3 linked regions of the Arabidopsis thaliana genome follow. The protein of the gene in region 1 interacts with the protein of each later gene in a pairwise test. Each region holds a gene or a part of one and is shown on either strand. Other genes may lie near its edges.

Region 1 (7,733 bases):
GAAAACAAATATTTTTGGACATGTATGTGTCTGAAAATGTGATTTTCCCTCTTTTTTTTTGATGAATATATAGTTTAAAATAAAAACTAACAAAGACATAAAAAAATGTTTTTCTCCTTTTAATCAAGTATGTATTATTTTATTTGTTCTGGTCATAATCCTAAGTGAGTGTGGTTGGTATTTTGATGAAAATTTAAAATTGTTCATTCCATAATATTTATGTCCAAGTATATATGGACGTAAATCATGTAAGCGATGATGAATCCCAATGTTAGATGACATCAAAGAATTTTGTGACCATAGGCCATATGTGTTGTGTAAATTTTGTGGGTATCTAGAGAAAGCCAACCAACAAACGCTATATGGATACTTTGACAATAAGTTCCATCCATCAGCTGCCAGTTTGTCCAAGTATCAAAATTTCATCCGAAAAGCTGATAAGCCGCCAATCTGCCCCAAGTATCTAGGAAACGACATATTCTAATGCCTAGTTGATGGGAAGAACTTTGGAGGTACACACATCACCTATCTTGAAGCTCATGAAAGCAAGTATTTTAACCTTACTTACTTTTAAATATATATGTCTCTAGCGTGTATAGCATCCCTATGTGGATCAATTTAGAGCACTAGTGAGCATTGTATGCTACCGCATAAGAAAATGCAACTACTGTTAACCATGATGATTACATCCTTATTAACATATATGACACACTGCAAAAGTCACTGGATGCGATCAAGTTAGCAGCGGTATTTTCCATGTGTCAAAAGCATACTAATATACTACAGTCAACCGTATATTGTTCTTTAGTTAAGTTAAGTAAAGACTACTCCTACTAGACAGATATTCGGTTTATGAATCCAAATCAAGTAATTGCTATGAATAGCCGTTCATTTAAGAATGAAGATAAGGGAAGTGAGTTGAAATGTTTCTTTTAACCTCATATCTTTACTTCAACTTATCACACCTTAAAAACTGGATTAGAGTTCCACTTGTCCGATTCATAGAAAAAATCTTGTATCTATCACAAAAATCTTTAACATATGTTTGATTATTTATCCACAAACTAAGCTTTTTAGGTTGAAATATTATATTATTCTAGAAAACTTCAGAACAATCCAAAACAAGTAATACCAAGGGAGCAAATCGTTGGAATTTCCTCACAAGAAAATTCTCTAGCTCATTTGAGAAAATAGGTAGTATTACTTGAAGAACCCCATTCAATAATTGAATTTATGAGCAATTCGGTTGATTTCTACCTTCATTCAAATTCTAGTCAATCTTGTCTTTTTGTTCCAATGGAATTTAATTTGGATTAACCAGAAAAATATGTCTTATACACTATACTTAACAGACTAAAAACCCAAAAATATACGTATGAACTGAAAAAAAACAAAACAAATTCCATGTAGTGAAGATTACACAAAAACTGGTAAACAACAATTATCTGAAAACAAAACTATATAAAAGAATCAGAGACTCTTGTTGAATTTTGCCCAAAAAAAAAAGACTCTTGTTGAAAATAAAATACATGACAACCGGGATTTTTTTTTTCTACAAGTGGAATTTTTATTTATTTTATTTTTAGTTTTATATGTTTTTATTAACCAGATATTAATTTTTATATACATACACACACACACTATATATGAATGTATGTATGCGGAGATATATAAGGAGACAGAGCAATAGATCTGAAAGACTTGTCATCATCTTAATAAACCCGGCGGGAAACGTAAAAAAGCCTTTTAGCTTCTCCCTCCAAAGGATCTGTTTTTTTCCCTTTTTCTCTGATTCTTCTTCCTAAACCCTAATTTCTCCAATCCACGAAATTCCCTAGCAATTTTTTTGGGGGTTTAGTGAAAGAAGGATAGAGAGAGTGAGCAAAGGTGTCTCCTTTACGAAGCCCTGTGCTTTCTCCCTCCGAATAATCTCCATGGCGTGTTTTTCTAACGAAACCCAGATCGAAATTGATGTCCACGATCTAGTGGAAGCTCCGATTCGCTACGATTCTATTGAGAGTATCTACTCTATTCCTTCATCGGCATTGTGCTGTGTTAATGCCGTTGGTTCTCACAGTCTGATGTCTAAGAAGGTTAAGGCCCAGAAGCTTCCGATGATTGAGCAATTCGAGATTGAAGGTAGCGGTGTTAGTGCTAGTGACGATTGTTGTCGTTCGGATGATTATAAGTTGCGGATTCAGCGTCCTGAGATTGTTCGCGTCTACTATCGTCGCCGTAAGAGGCCGCTACGGGAGTGTTTACTAGATCAGGCGGTGGCTGTGAAGACTGAAAGTGTGGAGCTTGATGAAATTGATTGTTTTGAGGAGAAGAAGAGAAGGAAGATTGGTAATTGTGAGTTGGTGAAATCGGGTATGGAGTCGATTGGTTTAAGAAGGTGTAAGGAAAACAATGCGTTTAGTGGGAATAAGCAAAATGGGTCATCCCGAAGGAAGGGGTCTTCTAGCAAGAATCAGGACAAGGCGACTCTGGCTTCTCGTTCAGCTAAGAAATGGGTCAGGTTAGGGTCTACCTATCATCTCTTTAACTGTTGAAATTCATGGACTTTGAAACTGTTGCGCTGTTGTTTTGCACTGATGATTTTCTTAGTTCAGACTTTGAAGACCTTTTATTGTTAGTGGGCAGACTCCTTATGATGGAGTTTTGATGTGGCAGGTTGAGTTATGATGGTGTGGATCCTACAAGTTTCATAGGGCTGCAATGCAAGGCGAGTGTTTTAACTAGACAATTGTCCACTTTAAGCTATTGCATTTTCCACTTTTTTTGTGAATGGGACATCTTAACAATTGGTTGTCGTTTAATCCCTAGGTTTTTTGGCCGCTGGACGCTCTTTGGTATGAAGGTTCCATTGTTGGATATAGTGCAGAGAGAAAGCGTTACACTGTAAGTAATTCTCTACTCTACTTGAGTTATGAGTTGGGTAGTTCTTTGAGCTATGATATATGTAAAAGCTTGTTCCTCTAACCATGATTAAATTCTTCCTTAGGTCAAATATAGGGATGGATGTGATGAGGATATAGTTTTTGATCGTGAAATGATCAAATTTTTGGTTTCTCGTGAAGAGATGGAGCTATTACATCTGAAGTTTTGTACTAGTAATGTGACTGTCGATGGCCGTGATTACGATGAGATGGTTGTATTGGCAGCTACTTTGGACGAATGCCAAGATTTTGAGCCTGGAGACATTGTATGGGCGAAACTAGCTGGTTTGTCTTAAACTGATTTCCACCTTTTATTCATATATTAAAAAAAATACCTCCTTATGCTATCAGCAAGTTGATGCTGTTGGAAGCATGTAGACAAAGAAAACTACCTACTGACTTCCATAGAACTGCATTTGCTTTCCTATTCGGACAGGTCATGCTATGTGGCCAGCAGTTATTGTAGACGAATCCATTATCGGAGAGCGGAAAGGTCTAAACAACAAGGTATCTGGAGGAGGATCACTCTTGGTCCAATTTTTTGGAACTCATGATTTTGCTAGGTTAGTCAGCGTTTCCTATATACTTAAAAAATCTCGTTTTTCTACTGAGATGTTGAGATCAATGTTACACATTATCAAGCTGAAGTTAACATCCTTTGGTTTTATAGAATAAAAGTAAAGCAAGCAATCTCATTTATCAAAGGGCTTCTTTCGCCATCTCACCTGAAGTGCAAACAACCTCGGTTTGAAGAGGGCATGCAGGAAGCAAAAATGCAAGTCCCTCTCGCTTTTCTTTGGCATTCTGCTTTCTTGACTTTCCAGTACATGTTGCATTAACAATTAGACCAATCATTTCTTCATGATGTTTCATTTTGAAACCTGGACATGTTACCTGTCCTGAAATTTCTGTTATTTTGCCTCACTCAGGTATCTGAAGGCACACAGGCTTCCAGAAAGAATGAGTCAACTTCAAAAGGGAGCTGATTCTGTTGATTCCGATATGGCTAATAGTACAGAAGAGGGAAACTCGGGTGGTGATCTTCTTAATGATGGAGAAGTGTGGTTGAGACCAACAGAACATGTAGACTTCCGGCATATAATAGGGGATCTGCTAATAATAAATCTTGGTAAGCCATGAAACTTATATATAAGTATGGTGTATAATCTTTCATTCTATGGTTCATTATTTATAGTTGGTTATAGGAAAACTCCAATGATAATATATAGGCGTATGACTTGTCTTACAGGAAAGGTTGTGACAGACTCTCAGTTTTTCAAGGATGAGAATCATATTTGGCCTGAAGGGTATACGGCGATGAGAAAGTTCACATCACTCACAGGTTATTTGTTAATCAGTTTTTGGCTTTTACTTATAAATCAGGTATTTTTCCATATTTGGTTAATTGTGATTAGTTCTCAATGTGATGTGGGTTGTTGCTTTTGGTTTTAAGCAGATCATAGTGCATCTGCCTTGTACAAGATGGAAGTGCTCAGAGATGCCGAGACAAAGACTCATCCGCTGTTTATAGTGACTGCAGATAGTGGAGAGCAGGTGAGTTAAACATATCTATTAGTATCTGTTTTATTGAACTTTCAGGTCAAGAATCTATCTCTGGCTAACATCGGTAACTAATTTTTTGGCAGTTCAAAGGGCCTACTCCATCGGCCTGCTGGAACAAAATATATAATAGGATAAAAAAGGTCCAGAATTCTGACAGTCCTAATATTTTGGGTGAAGAACTAAATGGATCTGGTACAGACATGTTTGGTCTCTCCAACCCAGAAGTCATTAAACTTGTACAGGTACCTTGTCATTGCATGTAAAATTATTTGTGGTGGTGTGCATGTGTTTTCATGATAATCTGCTTGCACATGCATTTTGGTCTCATAAAAATCATATAATTGTCTGGACACTGAATATTTTGTGGTACCCTTGCTTTTGCTTTATCTCTAAAACGTGTAAGCGGGTCTCATTTATGTTTAATATGAATGTTTGATGCACAAACCAAGTTTTCCTGTAAGACATTTAAGCTTGTGCACTAAATATTTCTATGCAGCTCTTTGCTAATTGGTTTATGGGTAGCCTAATTCGCTATTTCCGGTCTAAAGGCATATTAGAATCACATCTTCATCAATGAGACAACACTAACTTCACCTACGAAATAATCATTTCTGCCTAGTGACTATGGCTTCTTTTCTTTAATTGTTACGGTTTCTTTCTCTTCTGTAAGAAAACTGTATGAATTAAATTAACAGTTATTAATCGAAGCCAGCTTAACAAGTATTTACAGTGAGTTTCTAAGGATAAAATATGTGCATTTGGTCTATTGATTGAAAGAAAATTTGTGTTTAAGTGAAACTAAAGAGTAGAATTCTGTTCTGGAGTCTTTATAGCGAAACTCGTTTTGTAGGACATATTACCTTATATTATTTCATTAGGCAGATACCTATCAAGATGGTTGCTAGAATTTGCAAACTTTTATAATTAATTCCCTATGTACTGCTTGCCGGCGCCCTGTTTTATACAATTGCATTATTGTTTAGCTTCTAGTGTCTACACTTAATATGTGTCTCACCCTAATATACCATTACGTAGCAGGATTTATCAAAATCCAGACCATCGTCCCATGTTTCCATGTGCAAAAATAGTTTGGGAAGGCATCAAAATCAGCCTACTGGTTACCGACCTGTCCGTGTTGACTGGAAAGATCTCGATAAGTGCAATGTCTGCCACATGGATGAGGTAAAGGTTTTTTTTTTGTTTCACATGAGATTTCAAACGTTTCTCTTTAGTTAGTTCTGATTTATATATTTTTTGTCTGCAGGAGTATGAGAACAATTTGTTCCTGCAATGTGATAAATGTAGAATGATGGTATAGCTCATGCTCTGGGCTTTTTTAGCTATCATATACCTCTTAGATGTATATCTTTAGTGCCTTGTGCTCTTTCTTTCTCTTGGGTATGACTCAATTTGAATTCCTGGTCCACTACTAGGTCCATGCTAAATGCTATGGAGAGCTAGAACCCTGTGATGGTGCTTTGTGGTTATGCAACTTATGTCGTCCTGGTGCTCCTGATATGCCTCCACGGTGTTGTCTTTGTCCTGTAGTAGGTAATTTTACCGTACCATTTGGTGTATGGAGTCTATATGTGCTTTCATTAGTGAATAATTGAAACTTCTTTTAGGGGGTGCTATGAAGCCGACAACTGATGGTCGCTGGGCTCATCTGGCTTGTGCTATATGGATCCCAGGTTCAATCTTAACGATTTGTTGTTCTGTATAAGTCTGCTTTCCTACTAATAGGAGGCCGTATTACACTATTACTTTCCTATTTACAAATTAACACTTGTTATTTTATTCAGAAACATGTTTATCTGATGTCAAGAAGATGGAACCTATTGATGGGGTGAATAAAGTCAGCAAGGTACGTACTTATTTTCTTGTTCGGATTCCTTTACCTTGGTACTGTGGCCTTTTCAAAACTCTTATCCCTCTTCCTCTTTTTCTCTACTCTTAAAACTAGGATCGTTGGAAATTAATGTGCACCATCTGCGGGGTATCTTATGGAGCTTGTATCCAAGTAAGATTTCGTTCTATGTTAAGAGAAAACTGAATCATTCTTATGCATTGTTCAAGAGCTGATATATATAATTTTAAAATGACTACATTTCAGTGTTCAAACAATTCTTGTCGCGTGGCATATCATCCACTCTGCGCGCGAGCTGCTGGTCTCTGTGTTGAGGTACCTTAGGGAATAAAAAAAATTTCTTTCCCACTTACACACATGTACTCTAACACAGCAAGTCCACAAAAGAGATGTTTCTAACTGATTATTGCTTTCCTGACTCTCCATGTAGCTTGAGAATGACATGTCAGTGGAGGGTGAAGAAGCAGATCAGTGTATCCGCATGCTTTCATTCTGCAAGCGACATCGACAAACATCAACTGCCTGCCTAGGATCAGAAGACAGGATCAAATCCGCTACTCATAAAACTTCTGAGTATCTCCCACCACCTAATCCATCTGGCTGTGCTCGGACAGGTATGCAGCTACTGCGTTTATCTGTGGATGCTAAGATTAAAATTTAGATTCACACCACACTTTTGGGACAGGATTATTTCATCATTATTCTTTTACCTTGCATACGGCCATGTGTGTTTTGTTCTCTTTCATATTCTTACATATCCTCTTAAGATATCAGTTTCTTACTTTATATACAAGCATTTTTTAGATTTGATACAAAGGTCAAATTTCAGGCTTTTGTGTTTCCATTCTTTTCTACTTTTATTCGTGTTTGCATCCTATGGGTCAGTATAGATGATAATTTCCGTCTATTGTTGCAGAGCCTTATAATTGTTTTGGCAGAAGAGGGCGAAAGGAACCTGAAGCTCTTGCTGCTGCTTCTTCAAAGCGGTTATTTGTTGAGAATCAGCCATATGTTATTGGTGGTTACTCTAGACTTGAGTTTTCAACGTACAAAAGCATTCACGGATCCAAGGTGTCACAGATGAATACTCCAAGCAACATTCTTTCTATGGCTGAGAAATATAGATACATGAGGGAAACATACAGGAAGAGATTAGCATTTGGTAAGCATTCGTTATTCTTTAACTTTCAGTAAATCTTAAAAGATATTACAGGTCTTTTCAACTTCTGCTAAGATAAAAAATATAGTAGGATTTCTGTAGGATAAAAATAATTTGTAGGATTCCTTTCAGAATGATCTAGTCACATCCTAAGCTTCTTTCAGAAAAATCTTATAAAAGTTGGTTCTTTTTTTGTTTCAGGGAA
Region 2 (4,693 bases), on another chromosome or scaffold:
TTCTTAATACCCTGACCAAAACCAATACTATGACTTAGTGTCAAGTATGCTAACTGACAATCTTTCTGATGTTTATTGCAGCTGGGAACATCAGAGACAGCCAATGGAGTGTATTGGCGTGCGAGAAAGACTCTGAATGAATCCGCGGATTTCATAGTTTGATCTCTGATTTATAGGTAGTCTAGTATGTATGATGAAGGAAACACTATGTTTGCCTCGTATTTGTGGATGCAGGTTTCAGTTATGTGATCCTTAAGATATGAATTTTGGTTGTAACAGAACAGGAGTCGATGTACTACTTTATGAGTCTAGTTATACTCTAAAACACTTTTTTGATACAAAAACATGTTGAAGTTCATACATGCCTCTACGTCTTTGGTTTCACGTTTCACATGTTTCACATGTTTCTGATGAATTTATTCTCGTATCCTCTTTACCTGGTGACGACTTGGTCTTTATGATTCTAATGTTTGTTGTTGATAATAAAAGTATACATCACTTAAGGGATCCCATATGGTTACTGTGTTCAAAACAAGACGTCAGGGCTTTTTGGGTATTAAGAAAATGTCTCTTTCCATGTCCCATCTCCTAAATGGCTAAATCACAGACCGAGTAGCTGTGCCATTGACAACTTCGTCTCACAAAGCTGTCAACAGCTAATAAAATAAAGAGTAACAACAAACTATTAATAACACTTTTCCCTGCCACTAGCCAAAAATCTAGACATGCACTAAACTCAGGCATGCTCGTCTGCATGTTCTTCTTGGAAATCAACTTTTTCTACTTTTTTTTCAATTGCTCCATTCACAACCCATAGATAAGATAATTAACTGTTTGGAGTTTTAGAATAAGTTATTAAATGCAACGAACAAAGTCTGAGACAGACATTTTTTTTTCTTTTCTTAATGGACTGCCTTCTTCAAGCTTTGACATTGCTGGTGAAGTCGACACAAGTCTGGCAAGTACACTCAGAGAAACGGCATAACTCGCAGCCAAAACAGACGCAGGAAGTGCAGCCTTTGCAACTAGGTGAACGTGTGCACCCTCTGTACACCTTCCTGCTCCCTCTCTCTTCTTCCTCCTCACATGTTATCCTACGACCACCACACCATTCATTGATATAATACATCATTTGCATCAAACTTAAGTACATACAAGGACAACAAAAGACACCTACTTGTCGTATGGGAAATCTGAGCATTTCCAGTTTGGATCACCCATTGCATTGTGGTGCAAGCGGCATTCGTCTCTGCTCCTCAGCCTGAACCTCCTCTCTTTACCACAATCGTTACACCCAACAAACTCATCTCTATGGCAAACTTTGGCACCTTGTGATCTGTTTGATCTACTGCACTTCTTTGATGATTCATTGTAGTACTTGAGCAATACTGTCTTTGACAATGGAACCTTTTCGCCCCCAATGATAACCCACACATTGTTTTTCCACTTCCTTGCCGTTTCTCTTCCAGAATGCTTCTCGAATGCAGCTGGTGTCAACTTGTCTAGCATCATACAATCAAAACTGTTCAAGTCAGTCACTTTTACTTTCAAAGAGAGCTCTAAATGAGCATCTATACCAAATAAGCTAGAGATGGAATTGTTAGCTACAAGATACCACAAGAACTAGGTTGCATCAAACTTTGACATACACGTACAGCTAAGCGAGACATATCATTTGTCAATAAAGCTACCACTTGGCCAGTAACAAAGAGACGCATTACCATTTACAGATAAACAGACAGCCTAAAACATTACTGTGGCAAATCAAGTCATTTCATTTTCTACAAGAACGGATCTAGCTAGCATACACTAAGACTCATTGATAAATATGTAATCATGCTAAAGACCCTAGCTTTACCAGCCCAATGTGATAGTAGCTAGACAGAGACAAACGTTTAATCTCACACACATTCACATGTAACATGCACACAAATCAAAACCCATTTTCCCAAAAGCATCAGAAAGACACGAGAAAGAGACAGTAGAGACAAAAAAAGAGAGACCTTCATCGCAACCAGGTGTGCATTCGCAGGTGATTTCAAGGTCACCGGTGGGGAAAACCCTAAGTCTAGCAACAGCATCGCCGTATCGGTGACTGGTACAACCACACATGACCTCAACGTAATCGCCACCAACATTGACCCCACTCATCTCTTGTAGCTCCTCTTGCTTAAACAACATGGACCCACATTGCATCTCTCCCTCATTGTTCGCCATCACTCTCTCTCTGAGATTTTCTCCTTATAGCGTATGAGGAGAATGAGAAGAGAGAGAGAAGGAAGAGGAAGAGGAAGAGGGTAGAATTAGGAGATGAGAGAAGAAGGAAAGGCCTCGTTTTGGGGTATAAAAGGAAAGCCCTAAAGGAGCACGCATCTCAAAAGCCGTAAGAGAGATCTGATATCAAAGCAAAAGCTTATTAAGGGCTTTTCGGGAGAAGAGAAGAGAGAGAAATAAATTAGAAAGAGAGCTCTTTTAGTTTAGCCTCTCTTTGGCCTTCTTGTGGTCTTGTGGTTATAGTAAGTAACAAAGAAACTCTCTTATACAAACAAAACAAAAAGGATGCGAATTAGCTGGCCAACAAAACAAAACTCGTGGGGGCATGGGACCTCTCCATTATATTAATGTTTATATACAACTATGTTATAGTATGTATCACCTACATAACATTGTATTGTATATAGGGAAGAGAGAGAGAATTTCTATGGTTGATAAGAGGAGCAGGAACAGAGGCGGTGGGTGAGAGGCTTTTGATAAGACATAAGAGAGAAGAAGTTGAGGAATAGGGTTGTGTCAATTGTTTCAGGTTCCTCTTTGGTTTTATAATGTCATAACTCCTTTTTCTATTTCTTGTACTTACTTCTTTTCAAGAAGTTCTTGATTTTGTAATTTTCAAAGGTCCTTTTTTTTTCCTTTGAGGTTCTGCAAATTCTTGGCTCTTCCCTTTCACCAGGATTCATTGGTTACCGAGTCATTTCACCACCACACCTATTGGCTATTTTTTTATATAAAATAAAAGTTGAAGAAATATATAAAGGTTGGTTTGTTTAATTGTTAAAAGAAAAGGTTTAATCAACTAGTTGTCTATAAAACAACTAGTAACCAAGTACATGACGACGACGTCATTGACATCTATGCCTGTTAGGTATTCTGCAATGCGCTCAAACCCCAAAGTCATATCTCTATATTTGTAGCTATATGTGTTCGAGGAACTCATTTTTTTAATACGGATGAGGATACTAGTGTTGTATGTAGACCATATGATTTATATATGGTATATTTGTTGTTGTTGTTATCTTAAGTACATACACAATGGATGGGTTGCAAAACAAAAACAAAAAGTACATAATGGATAAATGAGAATTAAAGAAAATGTCGCCAGTTTTTTTTTTTGAAGAAAGTGAAATAATTATGTCAACATCTTTACAGAGACATGAATATGAATAAGTTGTCAACACAATTTTTGTATAACAACATCTTTACTTTGAACTTTAAAAACTCTCTTTCCTCCTAGTTGTTCCCAAGAAACTGAAAAAAAGAGTAGCGGATGGGAGTGAACTTATGGATTCAAAACATTTATTATGGGCTTGGGGTTTAGAAGTTTACGAGCCTTGGCCCCTTTCTGATTTCTACTCAAAGTTTTGTCATGTTTTTAAACTTCTCATATTTTGTTTTTGTTTTTAAGATGGTGGTTATAAATATTCGAATATCAAGTTTGCAGCAACGATGTTAGGTTCTTTCCACTTCAAGTTTTATTTAACACAAAACCAACTAAAGATGAAAAAGTAGCTTGCTCAACGCGTTCTTATTCAACAATGAGGTAAATGCAACATAGTGGATGGATGATGAGCTAAAAAATGATGGTCAGTTCTTATCTTCAACTACATTTTTGACGACCAAAAGGAAGATGTTGGTAGTATAAGTATTAAGCATTTTACTTACTGTCGTTACATGTCCGGTGTCCCTGTCCAAGGCAATCGGCAGTTGTGTGTTGAAATTATCCCAACGATGATGGGTCGCTATCTAACGAGATATTTGTCCATCCGCATAATTTTCTTTTGAATATTTTAAAGAAAATCAAACACTAGCGTTTTGTCTTTGAAGATATGAATGAATGAGACAAATATCAGATTCTTTATCAAAGTGGATAAAACAAAAGAGCATAATCGAGCCCATAGTGAATATGGGCCAACATGAGAAAGAGGCCCATTAAAGTTGACAAGTATATGACTCGCGACTCTCGAGAGAGCAGAGTGAGAGAGAGAGAGGAATTAGCAAAAGTAGAAAGAAAATGGGATGCTGCTTCAGCGCCGGAAAAGTCACAGCTCCACCAGTCGCCGCCGCTCAAATTCCTCCACCCCTCGAAGAAGAATCCGTCAAAGAAGTCGTTGTTCAATCAGTCTCTGTCTCCGTCCCCATACCCATCTCCGTCCCTGTCCCAGTCCCCGACCTCGTTCCTTCCGCACCAACAGTCTCAGATTCAGAAGCTCAAGTTCCTCTTCCTCTCTCACCTCCAGCTCCGGAGATCTCTCACAGCAAGTCCGACATTTGCAGCGTCTCTGTCTCTCACAGCTACTCCACTGCCACAACTGCTACCGCTGCGTCCATCCTCGAAGACGATGCTCTCAGCAAACCTCACCGTCCTCCTCCTCCTTCTTCTTCCACCTCTCGCCGTAACAGGCCTGACAGAGTCCTC
Region 3 (6,034 bases), on another chromosome or scaffold:
TCTCTGATGCAGCTGGTTGATTTCGAATGCTGGAAGACAATTCTTGCAAGATCAGAAAAGAATTTGAGAAATATTAGTAGCCAGGGTTCGATATGTGTACTCCCAAACGGAATGGAGAGCCGATATCTTGATGTGTCGGGTAATATCTATGCATTCGGGATTCTTTTGCTGGAAATTGTCAGTGGAAGACCTCCTTATTGCAAAGACAAAGGATTCTTAATTGAATGGGTAAGACAAAAACAACTCAGTTTCTCTAAACACTTGAAACTGAGTTACTTCCTCCTCCTCTTTTTTCACCATTTATATCAAAAACTTTGTTACTGTTAGCCTAGTAGGAATGGAGTCGTCTGTTCAGGGAGAGACGAGTTTTCGTCTGGATGTGGAAGTCTTGACCTTGTTCACATGTTTAGTTATATCGCACCTCAAATGTGGTTTTTGTGGCAAAAGTTTTGAATTTGAAACGTATCTATTGCATTTTGCAGGCAAAGGAGTTCCTTGAAGCACCAGAGGCAATGTCGGGATTGGTGGATCCAGAGCTGAAACATTTTAACCAAGAAGATCTTGAGACGGTATGCGAAGTGGCTAGCCAATGCTTGAACCGGGACCCAACCAACAACAACAACAATCACAACAAGCCCTCAGTGCAAGAGCTATGCGAGACATTGGAGAGCAGAATCAGTCTGTCTATTTCAGCGGAGCTTAGATCATCTTCTTTGGCTTGGGCCGAGCTGGCGCTTGACTCGTGATGAGAATGATGAAAGGAAAGAAAACGAGTGTTGAATGATGCAATGCTAACTAACTAAAAACCAAACTCTCAACTCTGTAAATCAATCGACTGATTACAACATTTGATATTGTTTTTTTTTGCTCTGATCTTGACGAGTGTGTCTGTGTTCTTGATTAGTTTTGAGTTTTGGGTGGTTCAAAGTGTTTGTAAATGAAGAGATGAACATAGTTTCTGAAAGATTTTCTCTATTATTTGAAAATCTATGAGAGGTTGAAGAATGTTAATGTAGTGTGTTTGGATCTAACCTTTAATCTTATATTATATAGAGCATTGTATCTATTGTTTGACATGATTAGTCTCATTGGAAAAAGCTTCAAGGCAATCAATTTGAGATCAATATCAGTCTCAGACAAGTGTTTGCGGACCAAGAAGAAGAAGAAACGTAGTTGAAGTTCATAAATCATAATGCATGGATCAACTTAATAAAAGGCCCACATTTAGCCTCGTATCAGTCTAAATGGGCCACACAAGTCAATAGGCCCATTTATCAATGCTTTGACTGTTTTCAATCTTCAATTTTGGTATGACTTCTTCTTACGAGGTTGAGTGCCATAAAAGATTAGACAGACACGTAAAATAGATTCCATTTTACCTTTAGTTAAAACAGATATGGATTAGCCAAGTTTCGTTAGTATATTGTCATATTATTTTATTGAAACAGAAAAAAACAAGTAAAGATTACTTAATCATTCTTAATCAGGCCTGTTCTTAATTATCAAAAAAAAAAAAAGATTACTTCATCATGTCGTAATAATATCACTAATCAATCCTTTTTTTTTTGTCATCACTAATCAATCCATTTTTTTAGCGAACCTTAAAGTCAAAGGTGTTGTTACTTTGGACGATTAAATTTGAATTATATAATTTAAAAGAAAATTGGAATTTAATCTGTTGAGGTTGAAATTCTCTCTTTTTATATATGGCGGTTGAAATTTAAAAGTAAAGTATTGTTTGGTAGGGCCCTATAGTTTAAACATTTACAAATCGGCCCACACATTTTTGTCATTTTAGATGTCGTAAACCGCTTTCCCTCGTCTTCGTTCCAATTTAAAAAGCAAAACAATTTCAAAAAGTCTCATCATTTCCCATAAACCTAAAAGCTTTTTAAAAACTCAAATTCGATACGAGAAGAACAAGATTCGCGCACAAGACGATCGATTACATGGCGACGAAGCTTTTGTCGCTTACATGCATAAGGAAAGAGAGATTCAGCGAGCGTTACCCTCTGGTGCGGAAGCACCTTACCAGGTCTCGCGACGGCGGCGGAGGATCATCGTCGGAGACGGCGGCTTTTGAGATCGATGATCCGATTTCCAGGGCGGTTTTTCAAGTGTTAGGAATGACTTGCTCTGCTTGCGCTGGATCTGTTGAAAAGGCTATCAAGCGTCTCCCTGGAATTCACGATGCTGTCATCGATGCTCTGAATAATCGTGCTCAGATTCTGTTTTACCCTAACTCTGTCGATGTAAGCTATGATATTCTCTCGAATCTCGGTTGAATTGTTTCTGAGAAGACTTGATTTGGGATTTAGGTTTTCTTTTTCTGTGTAATTGTGGATTTATAGGTGGAGACAATTCGTGAGACTATTGAGGATGCTGGATTTGAAGCATCGTTGATCGAAAATGAAGCGAATGAGAGGTCGAGACAAGTTTGTAGAATAAGAATTAATGGTATGACTTGTACTTCGTGTTCTTCAACAATCGAAAGAGTTTTGCAATCGGTTAATGGTGTACAAAGAGCACATGTGGCTTTAGCAATTGAAGAAGCTGAGATTCATTATGATCCTAGACTCTCGAGCTATGATAGACTATTGGAGGAGATAGAAAATGCTGGTTTTGAAGCTGTGCTTATAAGTACAGGCGAGGATGTGAGCAAGATTGATTTGAAGATTGATGGTGAGCTTACTGATGAATCCATGAAGGTTATTGAAAGGTCGCTTGAAGCACTTCCTGGTGTTCAAAGTGTTGAGATCAGCCATGGAACTGATAAGATATCTGTATTGTACAAACCTGATGTGACGGGGCCGAGGAATTTCATTCAGGTGATTGAGTCTACTGTCTTTGGTCATAGTGGTCACATCAAGGCAACAATATTCTCAGAGGGAGGGGTAGGCAGAGAATCTCAAAAGCAAGGGGAGATTAAGCAGTATTATAAGTCGTTTCTCTGGAGTTTGGTTTTTACAGTACCGGTGTTTTTGACAGCCATGGTCTTTATGTATATCCCTGGAATTAAAGATTTGCTCATGTTTAAGGTCATCAATATGCTCACCGTTGGAGAAATCATAAGGTGTGTTTTGGCTACTCCTGTCCAGTTTGTCATTGGTTGGAGATTTTATACTGGCTCTTACAAGGCTTTACGCCGAGGATCGGCTAATATGGATGTTCTGATTGCTCTGGGGACAAATGCAGCTTATTTCTATTCATTATACACAGTGTTGAGAGCTGCAACATCTCCTGATTTCAAGGGAGTAGATTTCTTTGAGACTAGTGCCATGCTCATTTCCTTTATCATACTAGGAAAATATTTGGAGGTTATGGCTAAAGGAAAAACATCTCAAGCGATCGCAAAGCTTATGAACTTGGCACCCGACACTGCGATATTGTTGAGTTTGGACAAGGAAGGGAATGTGACTGGTGAAGAGGAGATTGATGGTCGATTGATACAGAAGAATGACGTGATCAAAATTGTTCCTGGTGCTAAAGTAGCTTCAGATGGTTATGTCATATGGGGACAAAGTCATGTGAATGAAAGTATGATCACTGGAGAGGCTAGGCCAGTGGCAAAGAGAAAGGGTGATACAGTTATAGGAGGCACTTTGAACGAGAATGGTGTTCTGCATGTTAAGGTTACAAGGGTTGGTTCAGAGAGTGCTCTTGCTCAGATTGTTCGACTTGTTGAGTCCGCACAACTGGCCAAAGCTCCAGTACAGAAGTTGGCTGATCGGATTTCCAAGTTCTTTGTTCCTCTTGTGAGTAATCTGACCAGTTGATAAACAAATTATTTAGTCTTTTAGAGGCACAACTATTTTTTAAACTCACTGGATTATAATGTTGAAGGTAATTTTCCTCTCGTTCTCAACTTGGCTTGCCTGGTTCTTAGCTGGGAAACTGCATTGGTACCCTGAATCCTGGATACCTTCTTCGATGGATAGCTTTGAGCTAGCTCTTCAGTTCGGGATCTCTGTCATGGTCATAGCTTGTCCATGTGCTCTTGGGCTGGCTACTCCAACTGCTGTTATGGTTGGTACTGGGGTTGGTGCATCCCAAGGTGTGCTGATAAAGGGTGGCCAAGCCCTAGAAAGAGCACACAAGGTTAGTTTAGTGTGCAGTAACTTGGTCTATGGCTTTGTAAACTTACTATACTGTATATACTTTACTCAGGTTCTCTGGATCATTTCTTTTCTGAAATGGTGAAACCTGACAGTTTCAATGACGGTGTAGGTAAATTGCATTGTCTTTGACAAGACAGGAACTCTCACGATGGGGAAGCCCGTTGTTGTGAAAACAAAGCTCCTGAAAAACATGGTACTTCGAGAGTTCTATGAACTTGTTGCTGCAACTGAGGTAAACTTTTGGAAACTCCTGGCCTACATCAAAAGTAATATTACTATGTTGATGCTATTTTGTTTATCAGGTAAACAGTGAGCATCCGTTAGCAAAGGCCATTGTCGAGTACGCGAAGAAATTCAGAGACGACGAAGAGAACCCTGCCTGGCCAGAAGCCTGTGATTTTGTGTCCATCACTGGAAAGGGAGTGAAAGCCACCGTTAAAGGTAGAGAGATTATGGTGGGGAACAAGAATCTGATGAATGATCATAAAGTTATTATTCCAGATGATGCTGAAGAGTTGCTAGCTGACTCTGAAGATATGGCCCAGACCGGAATTCTTGTCTCCATAAACAGTGAACTGATTGGAGTTTTGTCTGTTTCGGATCCTCTAAAACCGAGTGCTCGAGAAGCCATCTCCATTCTAAAATCCATGAATATCAAAAGCATCATGGTAACTGGTGACAACTGGGGAACAGCAAACTCAATTGCTAGAGAAGTCGGTATCGACTCTGTTATCGCAGAAGCTAAACCTGAGCAAAAAGCAGAGAAAGTCAAGGAATTACAGGTACTTGAGTAAAAGCTCCACACTAAATGTTAAAAAGTTCACATATATGGAATTGATAAAAGCAATGAATATATATTGCAGGCTGCGGGACATGTTGTGGCAATGGTAGGTGACGGAATCAATGACTCACCGGCTCTCGTGGCAGCGGATGTAGGTATGGCGATAGGTGCAGGAACAGACATTGCTATAGAAGCAGCGGATATAGTTCTGATGAAAAGCAACTTAGAAGATGTGATCACAGCCATTGATCTTTCAAGGAAAACGTTCTCAAGAATCCGTCTCAACTACGTATGGGCTCTCGGGTATAACCTCATGGGGATACCGATCGCTGCGGGAGTGCTTTTCCCAGGGACACGTTTCAGGTTGCCTCCATGGATTGCAGGTGCTGCAATGGCTGCTTCTTCTGTTAGTGTTGTGTGTTGCTCTCTCTTGCTTAAGAACTACAAGCGACCTAAGAAGCTTGATCATCTGGAGATTCGGGAGATTCAGGTGGAGCGAGTTTAAAAAATTGAACTAAACCGAGTACCGGTTATTGAATTTGATGAACCAATAAACAAACCGTACAGTAAGTTTCCACTCCTTATCTAGAATTTAAGTCCATGAACTAATAATTGATTTACTTTGCCTCCATATTTTCGTTGCTTCCCTTTTTCCTATTTGGAAAAGGAAAATATTTGCCTTATTATAAGACAAGAGCAGAGAGGACACAAATAAAGATAAGAAGATTAGGATTATACTTTGAAACGTGATAATGAGAACTAGACATGGCAGCAAAAGGACAAAGATAGAGAAGGAGTCTCGAGTAAGTCAAGTAACGTCGGAGACAAGAAGAGATTGCCTGTGAAGTCCGTAGCTAAGTTTCTCGTTGTATCCAAGTTATTGGCAACAATTATCCGCAGTCGATATTTCATTAGATCGTTTCCCTTTAGGTCTTCGCTTCAGCCACATATACTCTTTGCATTCAAATATTTAGATAACCAAAACGGACGCCAGATTTGTAACTTCTTCACGTATTCCTCGACATCAACCAAGAATCTACCGTATTATTTATCTCTTAGTGCGACATGCTCAATCCCGAGTCCGTATTGCCGCAGGATCAATAATGTTCCTTATTACGTTAATGGTTTGATAAGT

What was found.
Region 2: the proteins of ATX1 (region 1) and ULT1 interact in a protein complementation assay, tested with the Arabidopsis thaliana proteins (one study listed by BioGRID).
Region 3: the proteins of ATX1 (region 1) and HMA5 interact in a two-hybrid assay, tested with the Arabidopsis thaliana proteins (one study listed by BioGRID).

The regions. Positions count from the first base shown.
Region 1 is NC_003071.7:13,456,383-13,464,115, reverse strand, and holds the start of ATX1 (homologue of trithorax), read left to right. Parts: upstream 1-1,684; 5' UTR 1,685-1,934; coding exon 1,935-2,518; intron 2,519-2,673; coding exon 2,674-2,725; intron 2,726-2,826; coding exon 2,827-2,901; intron 2,902-3,004; coding exon 3,005-3,224; intron 3,225-3,375; coding exon 3,376-3,502; intron 3,503-3,609; coding exon 3,610-3,714; intron 3,715-3,868; coding exon 3,869-4,068; intron 4,069-4,188; coding exon 4,189-4,281; intron 4,282-4,395; coding exon 4,396-4,493; intron 4,494-4,585; coding exon 4,586-4,744; intron 4,745-5,540; coding exon 5,541-5,684; intron 5,685-5,766; coding exon 5,767-5,814; intron 5,815-5,935; coding exon 5,936-6,053; intron 6,054-6,127; coding exon 6,128-6,193; intron 6,194-6,304; coding exon 6,305-6,366; intron 6,367-6,465; coding exon 6,466-6,522; intron 6,523-6,615; coding exon 6,616-6,684; intron 6,685-6,799; coding exon 6,800-6,983; intron 6,984-7,285; coding exon 7,286-7,531; intron 7,532-7,729; and 1 more.
Region 2 is NC_003075.7:13,983,277-13,987,969, reverse strand, and holds ULT1 (Developmental regulator, ULTRAPETALA), read right to left. Parts: upstream 2,948-4,693; 5' UTR 2,218-2,947; coding exon 1,931-2,217; intron 1,523-1,930; coding exon 1,178-1,522; intron 1,095-1,177; coding exon 920-1,094; 3' UTR 528-919; downstream 1-527. Other genes in the region: AT4G28200 (U3 small nucleolar RNA-associated-like protein), read left to right, coding at 82-162; AT4G28180 (uncharacterized protein), read left to right, coding at 4,289-4,693. UniProt on the Arabidopsis thaliana protein: Putative transcription factor that acts as a key negative regulator of cell accumulation in shoot and floral meristems. Negatively regulates the size of the WUSCHEL (WUS)-expressing organizing center in inflorescence meristems.
Region 3 is NC_003070.9:23,525,706-23,531,739, forward strand, and holds HMA5 (heavy metal atpase 5), read left to right. Parts: upstream 1-1,864; 5' UTR 1,865-1,949; coding exon 1,950-2,252; intron 2,253-2,351; coding exon 2,352-3,755; intron 3,756-3,843; coding exon 3,844-4,098; intron 4,099-4,227; coding exon 4,228-4,350; intron 4,351-4,420; coding exon 4,421-4,900; intron 4,901-4,981; coding exon 4,982-5,404; 3' UTR 5,405-5,521; downstream 5,522-6,034. Other genes in the region: AT1G63430 (Leucine-rich repeat protein kinase family protein), read left to right, coding at 13-228, 411-746. UniProt on the Arabidopsis thaliana protein: Involved in copper import into the cell. May play a role in copper detoxification in roots.